6 linked regions of the Oryctolagus cuniculus genome follow. Each later gene encodes a partner of the first gene's protein in a complex. Links are inferred from orthologs where the notes say so. Each region holds a gene or a part of one and is shown in the gene's direction. Other genes may lie near its edges. The genes, in order: PAK1, ARHGEF7, MAP3K5, DCP1A, DAB2IP and ARHGEF6.

Region 1 (5,449 bases):
ATTTCACTTGTCAGGTCACTCACTTATCAACTCAAGACATGGTGTGATGATCGCCATGAGATTTCTTTTTTCTAAAACCCCAAAACAACTCTTCTTCATCTGAAGAGCAGACGATGATGAAAGGCCAGAGTGTAACAGTTAGGGTAGAGGAAATGCCTTGAATGTTCTCTTATGCTAAAGTCATTGTTCGGGACTGGGACTCAGACTGGCAATGGAGACCAGTGAATGGGTGCAGCTGAGAACCTGGCACCTCCAGCAAGTACGCCCCTCCCAGTTACCAGCGGCTACCTTCCCTTGGAGTTTGCTGTTAGTTTCCTGTGGCTGACACACACTATATTATCATCACACATAGAGTGGCTGAAAATGTTTATTACTTTATGGTTCTGTAGTTCTGAAGTCCAAAATGGGTGTCAGTGGGCTAAAATTAAGGTGTTGGCAGCGCTCTGTTCCTTTCTGGAGGCTTCAGAAGAGGATCTGTCTTTCTGGCTTTTCCATCTCCTGGAGTCTGCTCCCAAAAGCAGGGGAGCCCCGCCTCAAAATCCTTAATTTGGAGGGAGAATCAAGTTCGTGGATAAAGTTCATAAACCTTGCCCGTTGGCATGAAGGCAAATTCTGATGTTTGCTATCTTTCCTTCCCTTATTAAAGTACTACATGCCATAAAAGGCGTGGAAATACTATAGGATTACAGAATTGTCAAAGCTCAGGGAAACTCTAGAAATATTAGTCAAATAAATAAATGAACATGACATTTGAGCTCAGCTTTGTAGAATCAATAGGTGTTGGCCAGTCACATAAGGAGTGAAGGGCTCAGAGACATGAAGAAGTGTGTATTGCGAGAATGTTAAATAGTATTTTAGTGTGGCTGGAGGAAAAGCTATATGATGAGTGATGGAGCTGAAAAAGTCAGGTTGTGAAGTCCCAGGTTAAGGATTTTAGACTTTATCCTGAAAGCAATAAAAACCTTTCAGAGTGTTTAAATAGAGGAGGACATCATCATATTTGTGGTGGTCAGTGGATTGGATCTGGAGCAACTGAAGGTTGCGCCAGTAGTTCATGTGATGGTGGAGGAAGAGAAGGGCAAGGACCTGCAAAGTAGAATTGACAAGACCTGACGTCCAGTTTGGTAGGCAGGTAGAGAGAATCTGGACTTTCGTCCAGGTTTCTGTTTTCACTGACTGCTGGATTGTGTGGTCGATTCACTGAGACCAGGAAGGCACAAGAGTCGCAAGGTTGGAGGGAAATGACTGGTAATAGTCAACATTCCAAAGGGCTGACTATGCTTAATTGTCACTATCATTTTTATGGCTTCAGGTAGGCTTAGAGAGATTAAGTTAAGGATACACAAGTACCACTTATTATGGAGAAAGTATGGTTTAAAAACGTTAAGATCCTATTACTAACATTTATATGGATGATACGTATTTGAAGCAAGACAATCTTGTTCCAGACTTTCAGCCACCAATGCTGTCCAGTACTGGACACGTTGAATCTGAGGTACAACAATGCATGCAGGTGAACGCTGTGGGGGAGGTTTTGGTAAATACATAATCTTTGCTCCAGGGCAAGGTTTGGAGAAAGTAGACATCATACAAAGAGAAAAACGGGAAAGGAAGCCATTTTTTTTTTTCTGTGTCAGGTCACCATGGTTATCCTTTGTCTCCCCACTTTGGCTCCCACATCCTACCCAAAGAAAACAATTAGAATCATAGATAATGTGGCTCTGAGATCACACGAAACCGTTTTCAAATTCAGTCCTTGGAAATGAGCTAACGAATGCGGTGGTGCTTTGTAAGCAGCAGTCCCTGAATCCTGAGGGTTAGCCGCCTTTTTCCGATTGCAGCCATCCCAGAAATTGCCCAAAGGTTTTCAGTCACAAAGTCCATAGCAAAGAAACCTGCGGCGGGTTGAGAGCACCCGCAGAGAGCAGAGGAGCGGGCGCAATGACGTCACAGGCAACCGGGTGATTCCCCAGCCTCTGGCGTCATGAGGCGATGACGTCATCCCGGCGCTCGCCCTCCCCCTCGCCTGGGCTGGTCTCGCTCACGTGGGCCAGCCGGCCCTCCCCGCCCCCTCCCACCTGCGGGAGGCGGGGCGGGCAGGGCTCCGCCGGCGCCGAGGCCTCACAGGGGCGGGGCGGGGGCCGGTGGGCGAGGCGGTCGGGCCCGGGAGGCGGCTTACAATAGGGCGCCTGCGGCGGGGCGGCGGCGGGCAGCGGCTGCCACTGGAACTGAAGGTGCCGGCTACACAGTGGACGCCCCCTCACGGCTGCCCACACACGCCCTCCCCCTCAGCTCGCCCATCGCGCCTCCCCGCCTCGCTCTGCTGTCCTACTCCGGAGACACTTTGCCCTCGGACTCTTCTTTTCTCCGAACCCCGCAGTCCCCAAAATCCCGCTCAAAGAACTCTGCCTCCCCATCGACTTCCCACCTCCCTCCGAGGCCGTCCGAGCCCCTCACATCCCCGCCCCTCTCAGCCCACCGAGCCGGCCCCGCAGCGCCTCCTCCCGCCTCACCGCCCCCTCCCTCGCAGGTCCCTCGGTCCTGAGGGGATCCCCAGAGCCAGCGGCCGGGGGGAGGCGCGCGGCGGCGGCGGCGGGAGGGAGAAAGTGAAGCGGCGGCTCGCGCACACTCGCGCGCTCACCCCCGGCCCGGCCGCCGCCACCGGGGTGGAGGAGCAGGAGGAGGAGCCGAGCGGAGCAGAGCGAGCACGGAAGGTAAGAGCCGGCCTCCGGTCGGTGCCCCTGGCGTTGCGGGCTGTCCCGGCTGAGGCGCGCGGTCGGGGTGGGCTGGACGGGGTGGGGGCCCTGGGCGCATTCATTCTGGGCGCCGGGTCCCGGCGGGCGGGGGCGCCAGGTGAGGTGAGGCGGGCGCCGCCCCGCGAGGCGGGCCGCTCCCGTCGGGCCAACAAAGGCCCCCTGTGCACGCACCCGCGCGACCGCCGGTCTCGGACGCCGGGACATCGGGGGGCCGGGAGGGGGGAGGCCCCGGCGGGGGAGGGGCCGGGCCGAGGCTGGGAGACCAGACAGGTCCGAGTCCGGGACCAGCTCCGTCCCGAACTTGGCCGTCCCGCAGCGCTCACCGTGGCCCGCGACGGGGAAGCCTGGCCACAGGGCGCCCGCTTCATTCTGCGTGGAAAAGTTCCCCAGTCCAGGCTTGGAGAGCCACCGTTAGGGTTCAACTTGAAAAGAAAACAGTAGTGCGATTTATGCAGCCCTTCCCCCATCCCGGGAGTACTCCCTAACTTAGGAAGGTGAAAACAATCGAGGAAGGGAGAATTATAGTTGTTTTGTATTAGCTATTCCATTTCAAAAGACATTATTACAGCGTTCACTGTTTTGAATATTTCAACGGTAAACATTACTGGCAGTGTTTTGGAAGAATACTTAAGAAGTACTGGGTGTGTGTCGGTGTTGCCAGTAAAATCCTTGTTAAACCCCTTGGATAATTGTCTTACACTTCACTGTATTTTTTAACTGTGAAAGGTGAAGGGAAAGGTTGGTATTGTGGTTACCAATAAACATTCAAATCCATCACTCTTGTCTTTAAAGAATTGTTCTTGGGAAAAATGTTTAATTTCGTCAACTGTGTATTTGAGCTTTCTCATCTCTTGTCAGGAGAAAACAGGAGTCCACAGTACAAAGATACCTCATTTGTCTTACCTTGTGGCTTTACCTACTTCCTGTGTGACCTTGAGCAGGTCACTTCCAGCCTTAAAATTCTAGGAGTTTGCTTTTGTGTCCCTGGAATGGGCAGGTAGGCAGCATACCTACTTCACTTTCAAGAGTCCAGTGAAGAATATGCCTCCCCCCAAGTCTTTGCTGGCATCTGTCCCCTCCCTCTCAGGTAGAGCTGACTTCTCCCCGTTGGGGCTTTCAGAGGCCCACTGAGATTTCTCCTATGGCACTTGTAGCATTTTAATTTCTGTTTGGGAAATCCTGAATCAGGTGCATATGAAACCTACCCCACATCAGCTCTAATTCTCAAAAAAGTTTTGGGAATATGGACCCTGAAACATTCCCTGAACCTTATACATACCTTTACGTGAGCTCGTGGGTCTACCTGGTAAAATTGCTTATTCAGTTATTCTCTTATCCATTATTACTGGAATCTGCTTCAAGCCTCTTGCCACAGCCATGGGGATTTCAAGAGTGTTAAGACCTTCCTTGTCTTCAAAGAGCTCAAAGTCTAGTGGGTGAGGTAGACAAGTAAACAATGCAGCCTGCCCTAATCTCCGGGGGACTTCAGTTGTACAGGGAGTAGTGTGCAATAATTGAGGTTGCTGGACCTGTTTTACAAGTTTGCTTCTGGCCAAATTGAGTTCTTCAGGCTGGCCCCTCATCCATAAGAAAAAGTAAAATTCTACATACATTTATTGAGCACAGGTTTTGAGACTCTGTATAGACTTGAAGGAAGCAGCACCTCAAAGGAAGGCATTTGTGTAACCACAGGGATTTTGTAAAACAAAGCGTAATCACTTAAGTAATTCCTACCTCTGACTATTCATTGTCAAAAGATAAATTTCAGACTCCTTAGCTTGGAACTAGAAACTGGAGATCTGAGCATTGTCTACCTTTGCAGCCTCAGTTTTGGTAAACTCTCTCCTACCACTTTTTTCTCATCTGTGCTTCCCCTTGTGCTGTTTCATCTGCCTAGAATGTCTGCCTTCTTCACCTTCCCTGCCTACAGAGGTGTCCTTGTAATAAGTTGCCTTTCCATCCTCTGGCTCATGTACACACCACGTTTTTAGTTCTGTCTGGCACTGTATTACAATTATGTTAAGTCTGTGCTTATCTTTTTTCACTAGCCTGTGAATTTCATGAGGGCATGATCTGTTTAGTTTTAGTGGCTAGCAAAGGACCTGGCATTGAATAAGTGTTTAAATGAATGAATATGTGTATAAAGAATAAAGTCAAGGCCCATGAGTTAGAGATTCCTAATAGTTTCTCAAAGTGTGGTCCCTGGATCACAGCTTCAGCATAATCTGGCATCTTGTTAGCAAATCAGTGGGTACTAGTTGAAACCTACACATGAACAACTCTGAGGTTGGGGCTCCCACAGAGACCTTTGCTTTAACAAGCTCTCTTAAGTGGTTCTGATGCTTGCTGAAGTTTGCAAACCAGTTTCAGAATTGCCTCCTGATACCCTAGTAGCTCCCTTTCTCCCTTTTTTTCTTCCATGACACTTACTGCCTGACATTCCATTCCATCCCACTTATAATCTGTCTTAAGAGAATGAAAACTTCTTGAGAACAGGAAGTTTTGTCTGTTTTCTCCATTGCTTTAATTCTAATGCCTAGAGTAATGACAGCATAGAGCAGGAACTCAAGAGTTTGTTGAATGAATACTATAAGGTGATTTAGTCCCATTTACTGCCAACTGCTACTTTGGGGTTATAGTTAAGAATCATTCTCATAATGAAAAGGAAGTACACTTTAATATGTAAATCCAAA
Region 2 (4,993 bases), on another chromosome or scaffold:
TGCCAGAGCCGCTGGCCGGCAGAAGCCAGTCGTGCACCGTGGTCATGCCAGCGTGAGCAGGAGGGCCAACCGAAGCCTGGACCTTGGGACCCCTGGGTGACCAAGGAGGGGCCGGCAGCCTCTGCTGCCTGAACGAAGTACTTGTGTCGGGAGGGTGGGGCCGGGAGACCTGCCAGGGCCAGTCCCTGTCCCTTGGTGCCACTGTGGGAGTCTGACGCTGCTTGCGTTCCGAGGAGAGCAGGCTGACCGCAGCCGCGGGGGATGCTCGTGGCCGTGAAGCCGTGTCTGCACAGCGCCCTCGGCGTCCGACGCCGGGAGCATGAGGCAGCCTGGAGGAGCAGAGCGAGTCTCCGCCTGTGAGTGCTTTTTCCTGGAGCAGCGTGGATCACAGCCCCGGGCCGCCTCCCGCAGGAGACGCCGTCTTCCCTCCAGCCTGTGTCTGGCCTTGTGTTTCAGAACTGCGGACGGTGTGTGTGGTCTCACAGCTGAAATAAAAAACCGCTGCTTCCTTGCCTCTTACTAAGACTTGGTTTTCTTCCCTCCACTTTGCAAATGAGTGTCAGAGTCTCCCAGTGCGTCTCAGCGGCACAGATCCGCACCGGAGCCTGCCCGAGGTCGGCCCGGGCAGGCTGCGTGCTCGGGTGCCGGCGCTGGGATCCTCCGGTGTTGTGAACAGCGTCTTTCATGTAGAAGAATGTGTATGTGTCCGGGAATAATAAAGTTTGTGTTAAAAAACCGGCTGCCGAGTGTCGCCTTTTTAGACACCGCTGTGATGTTGTCTGTAGTGTGCAGTGTGCCACTGCCGGGTGCTGAGTGGCAGGCATGGGGGGGAGGGGGTGTTGTCGGGTCTCGTGCGTCGTCCCGAGATTCCTGGGAGAAGGTGATGTCTCGGAATTTGTGACCTATGCAGACACTTGTGGTCAGAGCCTGTGGAAGGCCCCTAGTGAGGTTCAGGGACGCAGGTTTATGCATGTGACTCCCGGAAGGGCGGCGTGTGTGGGTGCGGGAAGGGCGTGCGGAGAGCCGCCTGTCTCGGGGGTCTGGGGGCGCAGCTGCTGGAGGTAGCGTCTGAGTCATGCTGTATAGTCAAGTTGTGTCGCCCAGCTGCCGCGTGGCGTTCACCTGAGCCGTTCTGTTTTTTATTTTCCCTACCCTAGGTTCACGCAAAGAATCTGCTCCACAAGTTTTGCTTCCAGAAGAAGAGAAAATTATAGTGGAAGAAACTAAAAGTAACGGCCAGACGGTGATGGAAGAGAAGTAAGACGTCTCCGCGTTCCCACTGCCCGTGCGGCTCGGGGGCGGAGGGCCAGTGCGGGCTGGGGCTGGGGGGCGGTGGGCCAGTGCCGGCAGGGGGCTGGGGGGCCGAGGGCCAGTGCGGGCTGGGGCTGGGGGGCGGAGGGCCAGTGCTGGCAGGGGGCTGGGGGGCCGAGGGCCAGTGCGGGCTGGGGCTGGGGGGCGGAGGGCCAGTGCGGGCAGGGGCTGGGGGGCGGAGGGCCAGTGCCGGCAGGGGGCTGGGGGGCAAAGGGCCAGTGTGGGCAGGGGCTGGGGGGCAAAGGGCCAGTGTGGGCAGGGGCTGGGGGGCGGAGGGCCAGTGCGGGCAGGGGCTGGGGCGCCGAGGGCCAGTGCTGGCAGGGGGCTGGGGGGCAGAGGGCCAGTGCGGTCAGGGGCTGGGGGGCGGAGGGCCAGTGCTGGCAGGGGGCTGGGGGGCCGAGGGCCAGTGCTGGCAGGGGGCTGGGGGGCAGAGGGCCAGTGCGGGCCGGGTGCTGGAGGGGTCTCCCCAGGCCTCTGCCCCCCCAGCCAGGCTGATGTCCTCATTCTTCTTCTGTCACAGGAGCCTAGTGGACACTGTGTACGCGTTGAAGGATGAAGTCCAAGAACTGAGACAGGTATGTCACTGTTGGTTTCGTGTGCGCACACATGTGTGTGTGTGTGTGTGTTCAATGGGAAAAAAAGGAAAAGCCCTCTGCAGATTAAAAAAAGGACCACGAGGAGATGGTGTCTGTCGCATCCGACCAGTGCAGCGGTGGCTCTGGGCGTGTGGCTGGGCCCGGTGGGAGCTGGGGCGTGGCCCGTGGGGACACTTTTGAGCCGAGGTCTGTGCTGTCGGAAGCCATCTGTTGGGATAATTTAGAACTCAGATCCTGCCCCCGAAAACTCCATGAGGTCCCTGATTCGTCTGTGCGGGCACATGGGCCAGTCAGCAGCATGTGTCACACTGGCCAGGGGTGGTATTGATGTGTATATGTGTGGTGTGTGCATGTGTACACATGTGTGCGCGTGTGTGGTGTGTACATGAGTGGGGTGTGTGATGTGCATGTGTGGGGTGTGTGCATGTGTGGTCTGTGGTGTGTGTTCACGTGTGGTGTTTTCACATGTATGGTGCCTGCACGTGTGTGGTCTCTGTGTGGTGTGTGCAGCGTGCACATGTGTGTACATGTGTGTACATGTGTGTGAATGTGGCATGTACACGTGTGGTCTGCATGTGTGCATGTGTGGCCTGTGTTCACACGCGTGTGGTCTGAATGTGTGCATGTGTGTACATGTGGTTGTGTGTGGTCTCTGGTGTGTTCACACGTGTGTGGTCTGAACGTGTGTGCATGTGTGTACATGTGGTTGTGTGGTCTCTGGTGTGTTCACATGTGTGTGCATGCATGCGCTGTGTGCACATGTGTGTGCATGTGTGGTCTCTGTGTGTACGTGTGTGCATTTGATGTGTGCACACGGCCTGGGTTCCCTGCAGAACCTGGAGAGGGAGGGGTAGGGGAGGTGAAGGCGGCAGCGACGCCGGGGCCGGGGTACAGGGTCCCTGTGGTCAGCCGTTCCCAGGGACGTCCATGGCATTCCCGGCCGCTCCCCGCCCGGTGTGACCCGGCAGGTCTCAGCCCCAGCATCCGGCCCAGCTCTGTGTGCTCCAGGCGCGTTTCAGTGCCGCGTGGGGCCCAGCTTAGCCGCACAGGCGGGCTCGTGGCCGCCCCTGCCCCTCGCGTTGGTGACTGAGGGCCTTGTCCTCGGGGGGTGCCGGGGCCAGAGCTGTCCACCACATCGTCGTGCTGCGTGGACTAGGCCTCGGGCAGCCCCGGCTGGGTTTCAACTGCCGAGGCCCCGGTCCCCGAGAGTGCGTGCGGGGAAGGGCAGCCCCGGCCGGGTTTCACCCGCCGAGGCCCCGGCCCCGAGCGTGCGGCTGGTGGCTGAGGCTGAGCGCTGTGGTGTGCCCGGCCCCCAGGACAACAAGAAGATGAAGAAGTCCCTGGAGGAGGAGCAGCGGGCCCGCCGGGACCTGGAGAAGCTGGTGCGCAAGGTGCTGAAGACACTGAACGACCCGGCCTGGGACGAGACCAACCTCTGAGGGCCGGCCGCAGCGGGCCGCACTCGGGAGGCGCAGGCGCCCAGGGCCCCCGGCACCGCCTCCTGCCGTAAGTGCAGAACCAGTGCAGAGCCCGGCTTCCCAGACTGTTGGGATGTGACGGACACGCGTGCCCTGCACCTCCTGCCCCCGACCGCGGACCTGCGTGCTGCGACTCCCTCCCCACACGCCTTCCTGGCGGCCTGCACCCCTGCCGTGCGCCCACAGCCTGACCTCAGACCCTGTGCGCAGGCGCTGCAAGCCCGCGGAGCGGCCGCCCAGAGACCCGGCCCCCACGCCCCGTGGGCTCCCGGGCTCTTCTGTGGCCGGTCTGACCACTCCACGCTGCACGGTTCCATCCTCCCCCGAGAGTTCCAGCACTTGTAAATAGAATGTGTTATTTATTGTGGCCCCAGCAGAGGGAGGCAGCCGGCCTGGCCGCGACGCTGGGAGCTGCTCCCAAGGGCGGGCTCTCCCTCCAGGCTGACTGGGCACAGCCCCGCCCGTGCGAGCCGTCCCCTCGGCAGAAGCAAAGCAATACACAGCCCAGTGCGGCTCAGTGACTGCAGCCCAGAGGCCCCACCGGGGCGGGCAGGGCAGGGAGCCGGCCTCGCCCAGCTCTGCGGGCCTTGGGCCTGGGAGGCTGTGGGCGCTCCCGGCCGGCTGTCCCCTCTCCCTTGGCAATAAGCAGTGGTGACCCAGGGCCTGGCCGGCCTTTCCCTCCTGTGTCGGAGATGACGGAACCTCCCGCAGAGCAGTTGTCGTGTCTCTAGAGACCTGTGTGACAGCGGACGAGACCGCGTGACTGCGCCTGCTGAGCCCTGCCTTTGACCCGGCAGCCTGGGGGTTGGTTCTGTCCCCGCACCCCTGCTGACGAGGGCACCTTCTCCTGCCCCAGCCCTGCGGCTGCGCGGCCCCTAACCCGAGTCGCCAGCGCTCTGTGTTGGCGTTTTCTACCTGTCTGTCTTGTCTTTTGGTGAGCTGCTCTCCCAAGCGGCTTTCTGGTGTTGCCCAGGACGTGCGGCAGAGGCGGGGGCTGTGTGCCGGCAGAGCCGCTGTGCCCAGCAGGCGTTAACTCAGGAACAACTGCCCCGCCCCCCGTGCCTCTGCCAGCCGTCAGCTGTGGTCTGTGGCCGGGGTGGGCCCCTCCAGAGCCTGCCTTAACCGGGGAGGAGGGCCGGTCCGTGTAAAGCCTCCCCTGAGCTGAGCCGCGCTCACCGTGGCGGCCGTGGGCCCAGCGCCTCCTGGATCAGAGACGGGTCTGCAGGGAGGGCTGCCCTCTGGTGCGCGGCCCTGTGCCTGTCGCCCAGTGACCTCCGGAAGGGGAGGAGCTGGCGTGGACGGGCAGGGGTGTGTGGCCCACAGCTGTCCCTGCGGCAAGTGAGGCCGGGCGGGCGTCTCTCCCTGCACGTGGGAAGCACTTCCTCTTGGAACCGGCGTAGAGATGTAGCATCCGGGACTTCCCGGGCCCCGGGCACCTGCCTGGGCTTGTCCTGGACTCTGTCCATGCCAATCATTCTCTCCACCTCGGGGACCTTGGACGGCATGGAGCAGCCCCTCCTTGCTGTCACAGACCATGTCCTGGTGTCGACTGCTACAGTGTTCGCGCTGCGTTGTTGGAATCATTAAACTCGTTATTTTTCTTATGTC
Region 3 (4,993 bases), on another chromosome or scaffold:
CCAGCTTGTACCGGGAGAGTCTCTGGTATCTGCCCAGTAAGAGACCCTGAGGCCAACCATTCCCAGAAGCTGTGTATATCCCCTTCCTCCTCCTCCCTCCAGGTGAAAGCAGTGCTTGACAGCCCTGTAGCACCTGCTTTCCTCACCTGCCCTGTAAGTGGGATAGACTATTGAAATGGTCCTTCCCTCCATCCCTGATATAACCAAGGGGATGGGTTGGGTCCTACCTGCAAGAGTGTCTGATTCAGGATGCTCCTGGAGGTGGCTGGAGAACACTTTCCAAGACTGAGTGGTGTGGAAGAGCTTCCCTGAATGAGGGGTGATACGCTGTCAGGAAATCTCATTTCCTGCTGTGTCATGGGACATTTAAATCTGCAGATTATCATTAAGTGTGCTATTAGATAAATCAAGTTCTTGGTAATCCTGTTTTGCTATCTGTGCAATGTTGGCTTATGAAAAATATTTTAACATACTTTTCTGACTCTAGAAATAATATTTGTCTATTATTAGAAGTTCTGGGAAAATAAAAGAAAATCACAGTCACCCCAAATTATATTTCCTAGAAATAACTACCATTAATATCATGGCATTTGTAGGTGTATTTTCATCCAGTTATGCACACAACATGCACACGCACATACACAGAATCTGACAAGAGTTGGAGGAAGGGAAGGCAGAAATCCGAGGTACGAGTGTTCCTCCAGTATGTCCATTTGTCTCCGTGGCCCACTGCCACCACCCCATCCTGTTCATGAGCATCGATTTGTCACTGTAGCAAATGGAGTCAGGAAGCCACTGCTGACTGGCCATCCCCCGACTTTAAAAAAAATTTTTAAATCTATTTTCATTTTATCTGAGAGACAGAGAGAGAGAGAGAGAGATCTTCCATCTGTTGTTTCAATCCCAGAATGCCTATAAGAGCCAGGGCTGCGCCAAGCTGAAGCCAAGAGCCAGGAACTCCATCTTCCATGTGGATGGCAGGAATCCAGCTGCCTGAGCCATCACCTGCTGCCCCCGGGGTTTGCATTAGCAGGAGGCTGGATCAGAAGTGAGCAGCTGGTGTGGAACCTGGCACTCTGATGTGGGATACAGGCGTCCCGAGCAGCATCTCAACTGCTTATCAGATGTCCACCCCCGTCTCCTGACCTTGAGACCAGTTGCTGCTTCAGCCCAGCCCAAGAGGAAGCAAGTAGAGAGGAGTTTCCAGGCAACAGTGGATTTCTTTTCTAATAATTTCACGTCTGCCTTCTTTAGCAAAAGACTTTTGGAGCGCTGGAATACGTGTTTGATAAAAACGTTTCTGGCAAATATTTTGTTCTTAAAACCAGTGTTTGATGAAAGGTCAGCAGCCCCCATTGTGCCAGCTTAGTCCCCATCTGAATAAAGTAGAAGCCTGTGTTTGCTATACAACCATAGTATCTGAGAACTACGGACCAAAGAGATCATTAGTCCATTGCTTTCCAGAATCTGTTCTTAGCAGAGAATGCCTTTTCATTTGCCTCCTCATACAAAGCCAAGATACATGCTGGCCAGAGCGTTACTCGTTTTAGAAAAATAGAGTTGGACCTGTGGTCCAGACTCAGCCTCACACCCACCCCACCCTTGGCAACCCCAGTGCTAAGGAGGATTCTTAAAGCTCTGAAGAACATGGCTTATAAATTACAAGTTTCCCAGCCCTCTGCTAATGTGCCTGGGAAGGCAGTGGAAGATGGCCCAAGCACCTGGGCCCCTGCCACCCATGCGGGAGACCTGGATGGAGTTCTTGGCTCCTGGTATTGATCAGGCCCAGTCAGAAGAGGTGAGATGTTTTTCTGTCACTCTGCCTTTCAAATAAATAAAATACATCTCTAAAAATTGAATCTGGTTCTGTATCTTATAGATGTGAAAATGGAGACCTGTGGATAAAATAATAAATAGTTAATAAAATGAAGGGATCCGAAGCCTGGTGCTTCTACATCTCTTTCATATCCTTGAGAGATTCCTTTCAGGGCCCGGGAGTCCCTTTCGTGGCTTACATTTCTTTACTGAGCTCGGGGCAATCACAGTCACACAGCCAGCTCCTTGAGTAGCAGAATTACACCTCTCATTGCACTGAGATACGTGAAGACGACTGTTGGCATCTTTCTGCAGCTATTTCAACATGTGTACTTTTTAAACAAAAATTTATTTGAAAGGCAGAGAGAGAGAGAGCGCGCGCAAGTATGAGAGACAGAGATCTTCCGTTTACTGGTTTACTCCCTAAATGCCTGCAACAGCCAGAGCTGCTCCAGGCCATAGGCAGGAGCTAGAAACTCCATCTGAGTCTGCCCCAAGGGTAGAATGGACCAAAATACTCGAGCCGTTACCTGTTACCTCCCAGGTGCAGTGGCAGGAAGCCAGATGGGAAACAAAGGCTCAATTCCAGGTACTCTGATGAGGATGCGGGGTCCCAACCCGCTGTGCCACAATGCCCGCCCCTCGCCACGTGTCAGTTGTCAGAGGTGTGAGTTATGCCTGTTGCTTCTCGTCCACGCAGAGTATCTCAGGAGCATCTCCTTGCCGGTGCCCGTCCTGGTGGAGGACACGAGCAGCAGCAGCGAGTACGGCTCTGTTTCCCCCGACACTGAGCTAAAGGCGGACCCCTTCTCCTTCAAAACCAGAGCCAAATCCTGCGGCGAGAAAGATGTCAAAGGAATACGGACCCTCTTCCTGGGGTAAAGGGCTGCCTGGCCCGGGGGGCGGGCGCGTGGCTCCCCGGGACCTTGCGCCTCATGCCGCTCCCCTCGTTTCAGCATTCCAGATGAGAACTTCGAGGACCACAGCGCACCCCCTTCCCCCGAGGAGAAGGACTCTGGGTTCTTCCTGCTGCGGAAGGACAGCGAGCGCCGCGCCACGCTGCACAGGATCCTGACTGAAGACCAAGACAAAATTGTGAGAAACCTGATGGAATCTCTAGCTCAGGTACGGCCCCACCCCACCTCCACCCCCACCCCTACCCCTCAGTGATACTTTGTGTCCAGAGCTTACAAGTTCTCCCTGTGTCACAGCACCTGGGGCTGTCACAGAGCATGGGAGCCATGAGGCCCCTGAGGTGCTCGCCGTGATAGACTATCCTGGGAACGGAAAGAAGCAGTTCCTAATATAGAGACTGGAATGGGGAAGCTATTCTTTTTTAAAAAAGATTTTATTTATTTATGTGAAATGGAGAGTTACAGAGAGAGGGAGAGACAGAGAGAAAGGACCTCCATCTGCTGGCTTGCTCCCCAAATGGCCGCAATGGCTAGAGCTGTGCCAATCTGAAGCCAGGAACCAGGAGCTTCTACTGGATCTCCCATGTGGGAACAGAGGCTCAAGCACTTGGGCCATCTTCTACTGCTTTCCCAGGCCATAGCAGAGAGCTGGATCTGAAGAGGAGCAGCCGGGACACGAACCAGTGCCCATATGGGATGCCGACGCCACAGGTGGAGGCTTAGTGTCCCCCCAGGAAGCTATTTTTAAGTCAGAAGCAATTTTTTTTTATGTTGGAGAGGTTACAGCCAGTCCCTTTCAGCCCTGTTTGTTCATTTGTTTATTCTTTTAATTCCATTTGTTCAGTCAACAGGCCTTGAGCCTTGTGTACCTCTGACTCCCATGTTAGCAGGAAGCCACCTGCCAGCTGTGGTTTTGAATGTTTGGGAAGCATCACAACCACAGCAGAGACGTGGTTCTTGTGGCACTGGGTTCAGATGCAGGGTGAGAGCTCTAAGAAGTCTCTGCTGTTCGCTGTTAGAGGGTTCTGTGTGCAGTGAACCAAGCAATTCTGGGTGATGAAGTTGTTGCTCCGTGGTGTATTTGTGTGCTAGAGATGCTGAAGCAAAATACCACAGGCTAGGAGGCTTCAGCCACAGACGTTTGTTTTCTCTGAGTTCTAGAATTGACAAGTCCAAGGTCAAGATGTCAGAGGCTTTGGTTTCTCCGAAGACCTCTCTCCTAGGTATGCAGATGGTTTCCTTCTCGCTGTGCCTTCACATGGACTTTTCTCTGTACAGGTGAACCCCTGCTGCCTCTTATTTTTAATTAAGATTTATTTCCTTATTTATTTATTTATTTGAAATGCAGAGAGAGATCTTCCATCCACTGGTTTACTCCCCAAATGGCTGCAACAACCAAGTCTGGGCCAGGCTGAAGCCAGGAACCAGGAAGTATATCCAGTATCTCAGTTGGGTGGCAGGGGCTTGGGCTGTCCTCCAACTGCCTTCCCAGGTATGTAAGCAGGGAGCTGGATTGGCAGTGGAGCAGCCAGGACTGGAACCAGCTCTCTGATAATGGGAAGCCAGTTTTGTAACCCTGGTCCCTGGTGCCTGTTCTTGTAAGGACACCAGTCTGATGGGACTAGGGACCCACCCTTATGACCTCATGTAACCTTCATGAGACCTTCATGAAGAGGCCATCTCTCAAAATAGGGTCACATTAGAAGTTAAGGCACCAGCATATGAATTCAGTCCCTAATACCTAGGAAAGTGTGTTCACTGGTATTCTGATTACAGAGATGAGAAATCCCTGCCTCCCCAAATAGGCATGAGTAGACACAGACTTTCCCTCATCTCCAAGCTGCTGGCGGCAGCTCAGGCCCACGTGGAGAGGAGCCTTCCTCAGAAGTACTTGGGGGCTGGTGCTGTAATGTAGCGGTAAAGCTGCCGCCTACAGTGCCGACATCCTATATGGGCACTGATTCAAGTCCCGCCTGGTCCACTTCTGATGCAGCTCTCTGCTGTGGCCTGGGAAAGCAATAGAGGATGACCCAGTTCCTTGTGCCCCTGCACCCCCGTGGAAGACCCAGAAGAAGCTCCTGGCTCCTGGCTTCAGATAGGCACACCTCTGGCTGTTGCGGCCATTTGGGGAGTGAACCAGTGGATAGAGGATCTCTTTCTCTCCTCCCTCTCTCTCTGCCTCTGCCTCTGCCTCTGCCCCTGCCTCTCTGTAACTCTGCCTTTCAAATAAGTAAATAAATCTTTAAAAAAAAAAAAGTACTTGG
Region 4 (4,993 bases), on another chromosome or scaffold:
TGTGTGTGTGAATTTAGAATTTTTGGTCACAAATGCTTTGCTTTTTCTTAAGGGTCCTGTGATTTGGGGGAAGAGAAGAGGAATGGCCTCTTTTAATTTAACAATTGATTGGTTAAGCTTTATTATCTGGTGTTTGAGACCCAGGCCCCAAGGTGCAGTACCTAGCTTTTTATCAAGAATAGTGGATTAAAGGTAGATTGATTTGGTTGCAGTGTGTTTACTCTCTGTGCACGTTGCTGACAGGAGGCACTCAGGCACAGTTCACTTGTGTAGGAAGCTCATTCATTGCCCCTTCATCTTTTATCTCCTCAGGGAAAAGTAAATCTGACATGAGGAGGGCACTTCACAAAGCTCATGGAAAAGGGAATGAAGGTGTTTGTTTTGGTACAAGAAAAATTCAAGTTCATGCACATAAGGATCTTCAGAAAGTTCATAACAATGCGTATTGTGACAAAACCACATAAGGATTTCAAAACATTTTTGCACCAAAATTATCTTTCAGTTCCATTTTCCATGAAGTCTTCTTATATTATCTGAAGTTCCTAGAATTTGAGGGTAATTACGCATGTGGATTTCCTTCCACTAACCTAGAGAAGACCAAAAGTACCTGTAGCCTGTCTTCAGTTTGTCCCATTCCTTACTACTGTTTTAGTTGTTAGGTAACAAGTTTGGTTACAGTGATTTGCCAGAGGTTTCTTTTAACTAAGTGGTGTGATTTGTTTTTCAGTCTGCTCCGTCTGGACACAAACATCTGACGGTAGAAGAGCTATTCGGAACCTCTTTGCCAAAGGAACAGCCCGCAGTCATGGGTCTGGATTCAGAAGAAGTGGAGAAGCTGCCGGGAGAGGCCTCCCAGAAAGAACCCAGCTCCTTCCTTCCATTCCCCTTTGAGCAAGCAGGAGGAGGCCTTCCATCAGAAAACCCGGGTGTCCATTCTGCTGCCCACCACTCAGTCCAGCCAGAAGTCCCCACCCCGGTGCTAATCACCCCAGCCTCCATCACACACTCCAGTGAAAAGCATGCCCCAAGCTACACAATCCCATTGAGCCCCGTTCTCAGCCCCACTCTGCCAGGTGACGCCCCTGCTGCGCAGGTTCCCCCCAGCCTGTCTCGAAACAGCACTATGATGCAAGCAGTGAAGACCACGCCTAGACAGAGGTCTCCACTGCTGAACCAGCCTGTCTCTGAGCTAAGCCACAGCAGTCTGATTGCCAGCCAGAGTCCCTTCAGAGCCCCACTGAGCGTGACAAACCCAGCTGGAGCATCCCTCCCAAGCGTTGATCTTCTGCATAAACTCAGGTTGACTCCACAGCATGACCAAATACAGACGCAGACACTTGGGAAAGGAGCAGTGGCACCCACCCTGTGCCCAGCAGCTGGCCAGCTGGCCACACCTGAGAGCTTCATCGAGCCTCCCTCTAAGACCGCGGCAGCGAGAGCAGCAGCCTCAGCCTCCTTGAGCAACATGGTGCTTGCTCCCCTTCAGGTAGTGGCAACAGAGGCGGGGTGGGCAGGGTGGGTAACTGATTGGATGAGACTAACTGCAAAGACCTTGATTTTTACTGATGTGAGACAGGATAGTTTGAAAGAATTATCTCTAAAGGAAACCAAGGACCAGGAGAAAGGGGAAGGAGAATCCCCCCCACCCCGTGACCAACCAAGTAATTACTAGACAATGGTGTAACTCAGTTTCACTTTCCAGAATTATCCCACTGATAACAGATAAAAAAACCACGTTTATATTGCCTAAGTATGCACTATAGGATTTTTTTTTCATCTGTCTTGCTTTTTGTTTTTTAGATTATTTATTTGAAAGTAGAGCAACAGAGAGAGATCGTCCATCCACTAGTTCACTACCTAGATGCCAGATAGCCTCAACAGCCAGGTCTGGATCAGGTCAAAGCTGGGAGACTGGAACTCCATTCTGGTCTCCCACACAGAGGGCAGGGGCCCAAGCACTTGGGCTATCTTCTGCTGCCTTCCCAGGTGTATTAGCAGGGTGCTGGATCAGAAGTGGAGCAGCCAGAATTCAAAGCAGCCCTTCAATATGGAATGCTGGAGTCCCAAGTGGCAACTTAACCCACTGCACCACAGTGCCAGCCCCTGTCTGTCTTGGTTCAGGGTCAGGAAGATCCCCAGATTATCCTGAACTTAGTTCCCATTCCCAGCTCCCTCAGTACTTTGTTTTCAGAGCCTGGGAAGTCTCTGAGCAGAGTGAGGTGCCATGAAGGAAGAGGGCGGCACTCGGGTTAGAGCTGGCAGGGCCTGGATCAAGAAGTGTGTGCATGTGGATATGTTGAGATGTCTCATCAGTGGGACTCAGTGGTAGATCAGGTGTAGAGGAAAAACAGATTTATCCCTCACAGTAATTCATAAGTGTGGGATATGCAAACGAGAAAACCAGATTGGGTGATTTGTGCAAGGTCACGGAACTGGAATAGTATAAAACCTGCTACTCTGCATCAGTACTGAGTCCCTATAGGACCTTTAATAATGCCCTTTAATAATAGTGATAGGAACCGGTGCTGTGACATGGTGGGTAAAGCTGCCACCTGTGGTGCCGGCATCTCATTTGAGCATCAGTTTGAGTCTCAGCTGTTGTACCTCTGATCCTTCCCCTACGAATGTGCCTGGGAAAGCAGCAAGGGATGGCCCAAGTGCTTGGGGCCCTTCACCTACGTGGGAGACCCAGAAGACACTCCTGGCTCCTGGCTTCAGACTGGCTCAGGCTCTGGCCATTGTGGCCATTTGGAGAGTGAACCAGCAGAAGGAAGATCTCTTTCATGCTCTCGCTTGCTCACTCTCTAACTCTGCCTTTCAAATAAATAATCAAATCTGTAACAATGATGATAATCCCCAATCTTAACATTGTACCAAATAATGTATGGAAAAGCCCATCATGGTTGCTATGTATTATTTCTTAACTTTTTTGTTCCATTCCTTTGAAATCTTGTAGTGATAGAGGGGAAACTTAGGGTCTTGGTAGCATTTATATTGTCTTCCTCCAGCCCTTTCTCTGTGTTACAGAGAGGAGAGAATATTCTGTTAAACAGACATGCCTGCTACCACTGCTGCAGGATTCAAGAAACACAACAGCAGTCCTTTTTATCCCTAAGACTTACCTAAGGGCCAGTGCTGAGGCATAGCAGGTAAAGCCACTGCATATGGTGCTAGCATCCCATATGGGTGCTGGTTCAAGTCCCAGCAGCTCTACTTCCAATCCAGGACTCTGCTATGGCCTGGGAAAGCAGTAGACGTTGACCCAGATCCTTGGGCCCCTGCACCCATTTAGGAGACCTAGAAGTTCCTGTCTCCTGGCTTTGGATCAGCCCAGCTCCAGCCGTTGCAACCGTCTGGGTAATGAATCAGCAAATGGAAGATCTTTCTCTCTCTCTCTCTCTCTCTTTCTTTCTTTCTCTCTCTCTCTCTCTCTCTCTCTCTCTCTCTCTCTCTCTCTCTCTCTCCTCTCCCCCTCTCCCCCTCTCTCCCTCTCACTCTACCTCTGCAATTCCACATTTCAAATAAATTATAAATCTGTTTAAAGAAAATGTGCCACTGTGGCTAGAGGAACCATTCTGGAAAAAAAAAAAAAAAAGACCTTTCTATTTATGAATTGATTGATTGATTTGAAAGGATGATAGGGAGAAACAGATCTTCCATCTGCTGTTTCAATCCCTAAGTGTCCTCAACAAGCTGGGCCAGGGCTGAGCTAAAACCAGGAGCCAGAAACTCCACCTTGGTCTGCCATGTGGGTACAGGGGTCCAGGCATGCAGGGTGTTGTAGTGGAAGTGAAGACCAGGGTGAGAACTGGCACTCTGATACAGGATGCCAATGTGGTAAGTGGCAGTCTAACCCACTGCACCACAATGCCAGCCCCACACCAGCATTCTTGGACACTGCCCTCTGCAGCCTGGAGATAGCACCCTGCCCTAGCCTCCTTCTTGGCAGGGCATGCTTCCCTGCGTATAAATTTCCATTTACACAGCAGTAAATACAAAGACCAGGGCTTCATAGAGTTCTCATGTCTTTGCTCTACAAGTTGTCTCTCTCCAATGAATGAGGAAAAACTGCATGTGAAAGGCTGACTCTGGGTAGCAGCTGTTCAGTACTACCTGTCCAGGTTTAAACAGCCTGTTACCAGGTGTCATGCTGCCAACATCTGTCATTTTTACAGACTCAACAGCAAAAATACGCCTGCACAGCTCCCAACTCTGAGATACAGGTTTCTGCTTTGTTCCTTAGGGACTACTTAAGCACACCTTTCATCGGGGGAACTGCAGGGGGAGGTTGAGTCATTGTCACAGTCCTGTCAGCCTCTTCCCTTGGGAATCTGAGACCTGGTTAATGGCTTAGCCATTTCTTGTTGCTAAAATAGATTTTTTTTTACCAGTAATCAGGAAATTTCACTGAAACCTGCCATATCTATTTATCTCTTCTTTTGAAACATTTCAGTCTATGCAGCAAAACCAGGATCCTGAAGTATTTGCCCAGCCTAAGATGTTATCCAGTGCCATCCCGGTAAGGCCCCCTTGTTCTGAAGAAAGCATTTCATGTGTTTCGGTCCTGCTGCTGCTTCCCACACAGAGGTCATTGCTGTGGTCTCCGTAGGTGTTAAGTCACCTGTGTATCATGTCTTCCCTGACTGTGATGGAGGGCAGGTGCAGCTGTCAGCCTGGAAAGCTATGGCTTCCCAGGGCAGAGCCACCACTCTGCTCCAGACCTCCCATGTACCATTGCCCTGACAGCAAAGCCTCCATGCACTGCCTCCGCTGTCCCCTCTGTGGCCTCCCTGTCTGCTTCTTTTACATGTCACTCACCACACCTGACATCAGACTTCTTTCCAGGGCCTCCAGTCTCAGAATTAAAATTAGAGCCAGCTTCTGACTGGCCTTCTTAACCAGTCTTTTCTGTAGACTATTCTGCGTGCTCCGTGGTGATCAGCCTGAGCGCTCAGCCTCATGTTGCACCAACAAGCAAGCCCACGTGGTTCTG
Region 5 (4,993 bases), about 160 Mb from region 1:
GTATGCACACCTCAGAGAGCAGAGGCTCCTGCCTCCCCCATCCAGGAGCTGCCCGGTTCTTCCTCCCAGTGAGCTTGACCTGCAGGGCTGGAAGCAGCCCGTGGAGAGGGCGTGGGAGCGCCAGGCTGCCCAGCTGCAGCCTGCTGGGCCAGGCCGAGCTAGGGCTCCTGAAGGGCCCTGAGCTTCCCACGGCCCTCTGTTCCACCAGCAGCCTTCCCACGGCACCCGGGCCAGCTGGGGCGTGTTTGTGGGACAGGATGGTGGGGAAGGAAGGGGAGGGATCTGCAGCCACAGGCCCCAGGCTCGGGCGGTTTGGGGGTTTGGCCTGGGCTTGTTGGGCTGCAGGAGCAAGGCCCCTTGGGCAGGTCCGCTTGTCTGCACCATGCCCACCCATCTTCCCCCCCAGGCCAAGTGTGCTAGGATGCCTGAGGCAGGAGGCCGCCTCAGCTCACCGGCTCCTCCCTTCCTATTCCTGGGTCCCTGCCCCTTCCACCCTGGCTCTCAGCGTCCCTACCTGGCAGGGTTTCCCAGGCTGGGCCGGAATGCAGCCTGATCGGAGTCCATGGGCTGTGATTTTGGTCTAGGACCTCAGGCCTAGGGGCAGTGGGTCCCACCCCATGCCAGGCAGGTGACAGCCTGGCTGGCGTCTGAGGTCAGGCATCTTTTCCAGTGAGGTACAGAGCCCCATCTGGGAGGAGGCTGCCCGGGCCCAGCCCAGGGGAAAGCAGACTGGCCTGTGGCATTGGTCAGTGCCGCGGTGGGAGGAGGCAGGGCTGTCTGAGTAGGGATTGGGGGTCTGCATACCTGGAACGGTGTGGCGTGCTCCTCTGGGCACTGGGACGTGGTGGGGGCAGGGAGATGTGGGGCAGCAGGAGCACCCAGGCTGGGCCATGCTGGGGAGCTCCATGGGGGCTCCCTGGGGGTGCTCCTAGCTGCCTCAGCCTGTCCCCCAGCTTCCCTCTGGTTCTGTCCATTCTCTCAGAGCTTTCAGAGGCCAGCTTCGTGCTGGGCCCAGAGAGCCAGTGGGAGGAGGGTGCCTGGGTCTCCTAGGGTGGACTGTGTGAGTGTCCAAGGGCTAAGGTTTAATTTCCAGCTCTGATCCTTCACCGCGCCTAACACAAAACCCCGGATCCCATGGTGGGGGAGGGGCATGGGGAAAGGGGCATTGCCATGGAGGTGTGGGGGTGGGGGGTGTCCTTCAGCCTGGGAGGCCTTCTGGGCAGGGCCCTTCCAGAGTCAGGGCCTCAGTCCCCTCCCCCCGGGCAGTCATGGAAATGGGTGTACAGGATGTGTGCCTTGCAAGGCTGGGTCTGGTGACCTTGCCAGGCCGCGAGTCTCTGGAGGTTGGGGCCTGAGTCTCGGGCAGACATGAAGGTGGGGTCTTCATGTCACATGGAGCCCTTGGCTCATGGGAGGCCAGGAGCCAAAGGCAGAGAGTATCTGGAGAAGGAGGTCTGCATGGGCCCAGTGTGGGGCAGGTTCCTTGCCAGCTGCAGGGGTGCGGGCCGTGGGTACCAGCAGCCAGTGCTCCGGCTGCAGGAGGGCTCCTCAGGCCCTGCTCATGCAGATGGCCCTGCAAGAGGACATCCACTCTCGGGCGTGAACTTTACCAACCATGCAGCAGGTGCAGTCAGAAGTGCCATGCGATGCGCTGAGAAAGGCGAGGTGTGAAGGGGAAGTGGCTTGCCCAGGGCCACAGAACAGTGGGCAGTGGACCAGTCCAGGCCCAGCCTCCCTTTGGGTACCAGGGGGCATCAGCTACCGCTGTTCCTTGTGCCTGTGTTGGGCTCCTGAGCCCCTGCACGAGGACCCCAGGGCGGCTCCATATCTCAGGTTCCGTGCAGAGTGTAGCCTTCCCGCCGCTCTGAGCTTGTCTGTCCTGTTCAGGAAGAGGTCCCCGGGGCTCCCCTGCCTTGCGTGGGGCAGGGCTCAGGGTGTGAGATGGAATCTGTTGACGGTGGTGCCCTGGACAGGTGCCAGGACACGGTGAATGCTTTGGTTTTGAACAGGGCCGGGGCAAAAGGGAGAGGAAGTGGGAAAGGGCCAGAGCCCTGTAGGCTTTCTGCATCCAGCCAGCTCTTTGGTGTGGCTTCCTCCCCAGCCCCAATCTGTCTTAAAACGGAAGGGAGAACAGACTCAGGGGAGAGCCCCTGCCTCTGGGGAGGGGAGAGGGGACAGGGACGGGGTGGGTAGGGCTGGGGAGTGGCGCGAGCTTGGCCCTGGCTGGGGCAGTCCTCACCTGACCCTCCCAATGCCCACCTCCCCAGGTCCCATCTGATGCCCAGGCTGAAGGAGTCCCGCTCCCACGAGTCCCTGCTCAGCCCCAGCAGTGCGGTGGAGGCGCTGGACCTCAGCATGGAGGAGGAGGTGCTCATCAAGCCGGTGCACAGCAGCATCCTGGGCCAGGACTACTGCTTCGAGGTGGGTGCCCCGCACGGGGTGGGTGCCCCACACGGGGTGGCTGCGAGGTGGGTGCCCCGCACAGGGTGGCTGCGAGGTGGGTGCCCCACACGGGGTGGCTGCGAGGTGGGTGCCCCGCACGGGGTGGGTGCCCCACACGGGGTGGCTGCGAGGTGGGTGCCCCGCACAGGGTGGCTGCGAGGTGGGTCCCCCGCACAGGGTGGCTGCGAGGTGGGTCCCCCCACAGGGTGGCTGCGAGGTGGGGTCTCCCGCACAGGATGGCTGCGAGGTGGGTCCCCCCACGGGGTGGCTGCGAGGTGGGTCCCCCCACAGGGTGGCTGCGAGGTGGGTCCCCCACAGGGTGGCTGCGAGGTGGGTCCCCCGCACAGGGTGGCTGCAAGGTGGGTCCCCCGCACAGGGTGGCTGCGAGGTGGGTCCCCCACAGGGTGGCTGCGAGGTGGGGTCTCCCGCACAGGATGGCTGCGAGGTGGGTCCCCCCACGGGGTGGCTGCGAGGTGGGGTCCCCCCACGGGGTGGCTGTGAGGTGGGTCCCCCACAGGGTGGCTGCGAGGTGGGGTCTCCCGCACAGGGTGGCTGCGAGGTGGGGTCTCCCGCACAGGGTGGCTGCGAGGTGGGGTCCCCCGCACAGGGTGGCTGCGAGGTGGGGTCTCCCCACAGGGTGGTTGCGAGGTGGGGTCTCCCCACAGGGTGGTTGTGAGGTGGGGTCTCCCCACAGGGTGGCTGCAATGCTGCCGCCCCCTCCCCCCCCACCCCCGCTCTGGGGGACAGTGGCTGGGGTTCCTGGTGCAGCGGGAGCTGGGGCTGGGGAGGCCGGGATGTGTGGAAATGGACCAGCAGCTGTTCTCCATGCTGGCCCGTGGAGCTGCTGGCTCCAGTGGGTGAGCGTGAATGAAGAAAGCCTGTGTGGAGCTGCTTAGCCCCAGAGCCTGTGTCTTAGACCCTGCTTGCCTCCGCTCGCAAATCAGTGCGGGAGAGTGGGGGCTCCTCCTGTTCTCTGACGCAGCCAGGGCAGGGTGTTACCCGGGGATTGCCGTGCGGTCTGTCCCGGGAGGTAGCGAACCAGGCCCAGCAGGGCAAGAAGCTGTCAGATGTCACCCAGCAAGGCCGAAGCCCAGCAGCGTTCCTGGGAGCCTCTGCTTGCTTCTCCAGTCCCTCGCGTCGTCTTCCTGTTTCTGGGACGACCCCCCCTGACAGTTTGGGGACCTCTGGTAGAAAGAGGAGCAGCCTCTGGGGACTAGCGTATCAGCCTCCTGGCACCCCTGGCCTGGTGGCATCCATCCCACACCCGTGCCCACTGGCGGACCTTTCTGGTTCAGGCTTCCTGGCCAAGCCAGGCTTGATCCGGGCTCTTACCTCCTTGCTGGGGCCGGCCTGAGACACGCCTGTCCGCCTGTTCACAGCAGGGGTGCTGTGGGTGTGCAGGTGCGGCGGAAGGAGTCTGGTTTCCCCAGGGGAGCCCTGGGCCTGGTGTCGGGGGCAGTGGGGACTTGCAGAAGCAGCCTGGGCCAGGCTCCCTCACCTGGGAGAGACGTCCAAGCTGGGGCTGGGAGATGAGTCAGGCAGGCAGGGAGGGCAGGGTGACCCCACGGCGCACCCGAACAGCCCAGTTGACGTCTCTGCAGGCCGGCTTTGCGTTAGGCTTCAGGTCCCAACGTCGTCACTGTTGCTTGGCCAGTGAGAACCCTCCGACAAGGTCAGCTGAGGTGCCTGTCATACCTCCCCGTGCGTGTATCCTTAGTGAAGCTCCCCTTGGGCTGCACGTTGCCCTGTGACCCGGCAGGGGCCCTGTTCCTTCTCTGCCGCTGTCTCAGGGACAGGCAGGTTGGGGTCAGGAACTGCTTTCCTGTTTGGACCAAAGGACATCGAGGCAAGGTTGAGGAGCCTGGAGCAGGAGCCTGACGCTGCAGGTGGGGCCGCCGTCCTGCTGCTGGCTTGCTCCGGGTCCTGGGTCTCAGTGTACTGCCTACAGGACGTGACCTTGTGGGGTAACAAGGGCCTTGTCCTGCCTCCTACCTGAGGCCACAGTGGAGACCACAGTCCCCGGAGGTCTTCTGTCGCCACTCAGCCTTGCGTGGTCCCTCCCCCTGTAACGCCGTCCTGCCTGTCCCCACAGGTGACCACGTCATCGGGAAGCAAGTGCTTTTCCTGCCGGTCAGCAGCCGAGCGGGATAAGTGGATGGAGAACCTGCGGCGAGCAGTGCACCCCAACAAGGTAGTTCTGTGCCTCTCTTGCCAAAGCACGGGGGATGGAGGTCAGACAGACACGAGGCAGCAGGAGGGCGAGGGCTGGCATGGGAGCAGCCTGCGTGGGCAATGTTCTTGCGCCCTGAACGAGGAGATTGACTCGGCCAGGCTGGGCCAGGCTCTGGGCTTGTGTTCTTGAAGCTACACGTGGAGGAGGAGCTGGCCCTGCAGCCTTCTGCCTGGAGCCCTGTGCCCACTTGTCCCTAGCTGCTGGGCCATCTCATCCTGCCTGAGACATCTGCATCTCCTCAGGACAAGCACCCTGGTCTGGGTTGGTGCACCTGTCTGTATTCCCACAGAGGGGGACCCTGGGCTCTCGTGTCAGGTT
Region 6 (4,830 bases), on another chromosome or scaffold:
CCCTAGAACTTGACACTTACTGTCTTTAGTTGGCCCTTCAGTCAGTCTGCTGTTCCTCTATGAACCCCCCACAGTGTGTACCCTAGGGGATGTAGAGACACATCTCACCTCAGGTAAGAGGAGGTGATCAAGTAAAGGTAGTGAGTATGCACAGCTCTGAGAGAACTTGGACTGAAAGACAGGAGATCGGTGTTTGAGGGAGAAACAAAGAAAAACACTTGAGCTCTGAGAGGGAGAATCCAGAGTGAGGAGGAGGCTGTAGGTGCAGGAAAGCTGTTTCATAGGTCCCTGTGTCTGTCCTGTCATCTCTTCTGTCCCAGAGCTTGGATACAGTTTGAGCAGAGAGCAGTCAGGACACCTGCAATTTGGCTGCTGATGTGATAATCTCCCAATCCCATCCTACTTTTGATCAAAAGAGTTTAAATAACTTTGTCTTCCCTTGTAGGACTCTGAAGAGAATGAGTGAGCATTAATGAGGCTCCCAAAGCTCTTCAAACGTGCATGTCCCAGCACAGGGCTGCTCTCCACCTGACTTTTACTATAGTCGCTTAACACCAGAGCTTGTGTCATACCCTGGAGATGTACAAGGACACAGCAGTCACTGGTTAGCTCTCTGCTTTGGGGAGACAAGACAGGAAGGTGTAGTGGTCGTGTTGAGGATGGGCATTATGCTGGCCCTTTCACGTAATTTCTGTGAGTTTAAAATGCCTGCCCCACCCCCTGCCACCATGAAGATTGAATCAATATATTTGGCTATTTAGAATTGCTCATGTCAGGAAGATTTAGTTAGCCAAGTGTAGGGTGACTGCCCTCTGGGTGCCAAGTAGCAATGTCCTGTGAACAAAGGCCCTTCCATAATTATGTTCGAAATGAATGCAGAGCTAGAAATCCCATTCAGTAGTAACTCTCCCCCCTCCTTCATCCTGCAACCCTGGTTTGTAGGTGCTCGCAAAGATTCTGTTCCTCAAGTCCTACTGCCTGAGGAAGAGAAACTCATCATTGAAGAAACCAGGAGCAATGGCCAGACCATCATAGAAGAAAAGTGAGTAGAGCAGGCTAAACCTTTCTCACTGTGTCTGTAGGCTGCACAAACGATCCAGTAGAGTGGTGTGGCAATGTGACCCTCTTTGCTGAACATGTGGTGGAGTGGTGAGCCTTGGGAGGGATGCCTCCCTTACAAAGGAAAGAGGGAGGAGGGGCAGAGAGCCCAGAGCCCTGGGGAACAGCTCCACATGGTGGCTGTCCCTGCAGCCATTCCCCCATGCAGTCAGCTGCTTCAGGACATGCAAGCATATTTGTGCTCTGGTGGGTTTAGGAGGTTCCTGGGAAGGGTATAGCACACTCATTTCCCTGTCCAGAACCGCTTCTCATTTTTTTTTTTTTGAGTGAGGTGCTGGACTTTTACATACTTGACCTCATTGACAATCTTACAGCAATCCAGCAAGATAAGCATTCCTCTCACCATTTGTACAAATGAAGAAACTGAGGGACAGGAAAATGATGTCTCTGGCCTCCCTTTGCACAATAGTGAGTGTGGGCTAAAAGGGGGAAACCAGCTTAAATACCCCATGACTCGTAAAATAGATGCAAAGTGGCTAAATAATTCATTTGCTTCAACTTGAGTCATTTCTGCAGTCAGACCCAAATTTGCATAGGACAGCACATTTCAAAGGGCTTGGTATGTCAATATATCTTTACATCTGGTGTAAGAAATGACACAACAAAATGGTAAAGAACTTGGGCTCAAGACACGAAAAGTTCTGGCTCAACTCTCAATGCTTCAACTCAATAGCTGTGTGGCCTGGGGCATGCTCCTTCACCTCTATGCCTCAGTTTCTTCATCTGTAAGATGTGGGATGATAGTAATATTTTCAGGATTGCTGGTGGTCAAATGAAATGCTAACTTTTACAAAGGCTAGCATTCAACAAATGATAATGGTTTTACTGATGATGGTGATTATTGCAGCTATATGAGTCTTCATAACCTTTTGTGATTTCCCAGAAATGTCTTATTATCTCTAATTTACTAAGACCAAGGGAGGATGAGATGGGAACTGATTTTCCAAGGCTAGAGGACTAGTAAGTGGCAGGATTGGAGCTGGAACCTAAATCTCTGAAATCCTTGCCCAGGGAGAGAGCCAGCCAGAAAAAAAGAGAGAGATTGTTCTACAACCCAGCCAGGATGCTTCATCTGTTTTCTTTTTGTAGTATATGGAATTTCCCAGAAGTAATGCCACTGAATTCGTGTTATGTGGGGTCAGATAAATGAGAAAGGCAGTGCCATGGCACAGATAATATAGAATAGCCTGACAATGTTTCTTATCATGTGTTTGGTGATGTTCATTCCTGTATCAAAGATAGATAAATTAAAACCTTATGATGAGAATTTTTAAAAAACTTGAACTCATAGAAGCAGAGAGTAGAATTGTGGTTGCCAGGATCAGGCAGGTTGGGACATACAGGGAGACGCTGATCAGAGGATGTACAGTTTCAGTTATGCAGCATGAATAATTTCAGGATACCTAATGTAGAGCATGATGGCTATAGTTAATAATACTGTACTATATGCTTGAAATTTGCTAAGAATGCAATCTTTAGTGTTCCCACTACATACAAAAAATGGGGACTCTTTGAGGTAATGAATATATTAATTACTTTAATAGTGGTAACCATTTCATAGTGTGTGTGTGTGTGTGTGTATAATGATCATGTTGTACATCTTAAAATACATAGCTTTAAAATTATGTATTTATTAGACAAGAGGGAGATGGAGAGGAAATGTGTCTTCTGTCTACTGGTTCACTCCCTAAATGACTACAATGGCTAGAGCTGGGGCAGGACTTAAGCTGGGAGCCAGGAACCCAATCCAGGTCTCCTACATGGGTAGCAGGGACCCAACAACTAGAACCATTATGTGCTACCTCTCAGGGTGCTTATTAGCAGGAAGCTGGAGTCAGGAGCCAGAGCCAGGACTCAAACCCAGATGCTACAATGTGAGATACAGACATCTTAACCATGTCTAAAACTTCCAGGACAAATACCCACCCCTATACATTTTCTTACTGGTCAAATTATACCTTAATAGATACGGAAAAAGCCAAATCTTGTACTGTGCTCTTGTATAATTTTTCACTCACACAAGCTGCGAAGTGAGTAGCAAAGGAGCAGGGAAGTATAAAGAGAAAATGACATGGGCTTGGAATGGACATGTGTGGTGCTGGTGGTTCTGCCACCAAAATACGGGAAGTGAGAGCCCCTGAAAGCAGTACCATTCCTGCTCAGCAAGAAAGTGCTCTGTTTTTCAGGATTTGTATTCATATAGAGCTGCTTTTGTTGCTAAGTGTTATTCAACAATACTTCAGCACCAGCCATTCATCCCTGAATTTCATCTTTACATTCTAGGAGCCTTGTCGATACTGTTTATGCCTTGAAGGATGAAGTCAAAGAACTGAAGCAGGTAATAAATATAAGTGTCATTTTCTCACTGCCTCTTCCTTGCCCTACACAGATAGATGTTGTCAGGAAAGATCCTGGGGGCAAGGTGGTGAAGGGGATTTTTGCTTTCCTGGTGTCATTAGGGTGTACTTGTTGACTTTACCATGGGACCTTGGGTTTCAGTTTCTGCAGCTTGCTTATATTCCTGTGTAACAGCTTGCAATAGGGTTTCACAAGTAGTTACAACGTTTGTTCTCTGACATCATTTTCTTAAGAAAAGCCAAATCACTTGTGAGTACGTAACTATAAAGAGAATCCTAAAGCATGGTTTGTGGGCTCCTCTGCCGATGTGGTCCAGTGATCTGTGATACACACTCTGCTTTCTGTGTGAGGACTGACTGTAGCTGGTCACAGGGTGAGGAGGGCTGGGACGGGGAGAGACCGGGGAAGACCACTTAGGAGGTTCCTACAAAACTCAGGGAACTGAGGCAAGCCAGTGAGGTAGTGGAGGAGGAAAATGAATACAAAGATAGGAAGGTACCCTGTGGAATTCAAACCTAGGGAATATGAAGACATAATGTTGATATTAAGAGACAACCAGGGATTAAAGTACAACTTATTCTTTTGGTATTAAGATTGGTGTTATGATGCCCCTCACAGAGATCAGGAGCCACAGGAGAGGGAGAATTTTGGGGTGGCAAGGGAAATATTGTATTCATTTTAGGACTTAATGAGTTGACATTCTTGTAACTTATCCAGGTGGAAATATTAGGCTCGCATTTGGGATTGTGTACCCGGTGCCTAGGAGATGAAGTTAGCAACAGAGATATTTGGGAGGTCCCTTAATAGACAGTTTGAAAGGGAAGAGACAAAAAGTAAAAATAGCTTTAGAGAATACTTGTATTTCAGATAAGAGGGTGAAAGTCCAATCAGATAGGTAGGAGAATCAAGAGCTTCTTAGAAGCTGAGGGAGCAGAGTTTGAGGAAGGAAAGTATAGTCAGAGGCAAATGCTGCCAAGAAGATGAGCAGAAGCTTTGGGAAGGACCCACTCTGGTAATCAATAAGTCTTTTGCCATTGTAGGAGAATAAAAGAATGAAGCAATGTCTGGAAGAAGAATTGAAGTCAAGAAGGGACCTAGAAAAGCTGGTTCGGAGGCTGTTGAAGCAAACTGATGAATGCATGCGAGCTGAGTCCGGTAGCAAGACCTCAATTCTTCCATAAGCATCACTGAGCAACTGGGAGGAGTGTGCTTTCAGGGCATCTTGAAATGTCTGGTCAAAGAATTTGACTCAGTTTGCTTGCTCACTTCTTTGGCTTTTAGTTTGAATTTCAGTATTTCTAGTATCTCTCTCTCTCTCTCTCTCTCTCCCTCCCTCCCTCCCCCCTTTTTCTC

What was found.
Region 2: the proteins of PAK1 (region 1) and ARHGEF7 are in contact, whole or in part, in an NMR structure (PDB 1ZSG), measured with the Homo sapiens proteins. The link is inferred for Oryctolagus cuniculus from reciprocal best matches to the Homo sapiens genes PAK1 and ARHGEF7. Residues at the interface, in NP_001363202.1 of Homo sapiens: Thr185, Pro186, Pro188, Val189, Ile190, Ala191, Pro192, Arg193, Lys198, Arg203, Ser204; in NP_001106983.1 of Homo sapiens: Lys192, Phe193, Phe195, Thr198, Asp201, Glu202, Glu217, Gly220, Trp221, Trp232, Pro234, Ser235, Asn236, Tyr237.
Region 3: PAK1 (region 1) and MAP3K5 share a complex: the UniProt entries of both Homo sapiens proteins name them as parts of the cytoplasmic complex. The link is inferred for Oryctolagus cuniculus from reciprocal best matches to the Homo sapiens genes PAK1 and MAP3K5.
Region 4: PAK1 (region 1) and DCP1A share a complex: the UniProt entries of both Homo sapiens proteins name them as parts of the cytoplasmic complex. The link is inferred for Oryctolagus cuniculus from reciprocal best matches to the Homo sapiens genes PAK1 and DCP1A.
Region 5: PAK1 (region 1) and DAB2IP share a complex: the UniProt entries of both Homo sapiens proteins name them as parts of the cytoplasmic complex. The link is inferred for Oryctolagus cuniculus from reciprocal best matches to the Homo sapiens genes PAK1 and DAB2IP.
Region 6: PAK1 (region 1) and ARHGEF6 share a complex: the UniProt entries of both Homo sapiens proteins name them as parts of the cytoplasmic complex. The link is inferred for Oryctolagus cuniculus from reciprocal best matches to the Homo sapiens genes PAK1 and ARHGEF6.

Annotation. Positions count from the first base shown.
Region 1 is NC_091432.1:68,610,216-68,615,664, reverse strand, and holds the start of PAK1 (serine/threonine-protein kinase PAK 1), read left to right. Parts: upstream 1-2,131; 5' UTR 2,132-2,714; intron 2,715-5,449. UniProt on the Homo sapiens protein: Protein kinase involved in intracellular signaling pathways downstream of integrins and receptor-type kinases that plays an important role in cytoskeleton dynamics, in cell adhesion, migration, proliferation, apoptosis, mitosis, and in vesicle-mediated transport processes.
Region 2 is NC_091440.1:2,006,616-2,011,608, reverse strand, and holds part of ARHGEF7 (rho guanine nucleotide exchange factor 7), read left to right. Parts: intron 1-1,157; coding exon 1,158-1,257; intron 1,258-1,831; coding exon 1,832-1,886; intron 1,887-3,223; coding exon 3,224-3,346; 3' UTR 3,347-4,993. UniProt on the Homo sapiens protein: Acts as a RAC1 guanine nucleotide exchange factor (GEF) and can induce membrane ruffling. Functions in cell migration, attachment and cell spreading. Promotes targeting of RAC1 to focal adhesions. May function as a positive regulator of apoptosis.
Region 3 is NC_091436.1:32,274,524-32,279,516, forward strand, and holds part of MAP3K5 (mitogen-activated protein kinase kinase kinase 5), read left to right. Parts: intron 1-2,515; coding exon 2,516-2,693; intron 2,694-2,771; coding exon 2,772-2,940; intron 2,941-4,993. UniProt on the Homo sapiens protein: Serine/threonine kinase which acts as an essential component of the MAP kinase signal transduction pathway. Plays an important role in the cascades of cellular responses evoked by changes in the environment.
Region 4 is NC_091441.1:96,540,226-96,545,218, forward strand, and holds part of DCP1A (mRNA-decapping enzyme 1A), read left to right. Parts: intron 1-727; coding exon 728-1,486; intron 1,487-4,453; coding exon 4,454-4,519; intron 4,520-4,993. UniProt on the Homo sapiens protein: Necessary for the degradation of mRNAs, both in normal mRNA turnover and in nonsense-mediated mRNA decay. Removes the 7-methyl guanine cap structure from mRNA molecules, yielding a 5'-phosphorylated mRNA fragment and 7m-GDP.
Region 5 is NC_091432.1:225,758,963-225,763,955, forward strand, and holds part of DAB2IP (disabled homolog 2-interacting protein), read left to right. Parts: intron 1-2,267; coding exon 2,268-2,421; intron 2,422-4,534; coding exon 4,535-4,633; intron 4,634-4,993. UniProt on the Homo sapiens protein: Functions as a scaffold protein implicated in the regulation of a large spectrum of both general and specialized signaling pathways.
Region 6 is NC_091453.1:114,518,858-114,523,687, reverse strand, and holds part of ARHGEF6 (rho guanine nucleotide exchange factor 6), read left to right. Parts: intron 1-942; coding exon 943-1,042; intron 1,043-3,402; coding exon 3,403-3,457; intron 3,458-4,517; coding exon 4,518-4,658; 3' UTR 4,659-4,830. UniProt on the Homo sapiens protein: Acts as a RAC1 guanine nucleotide exchange factor (GEF).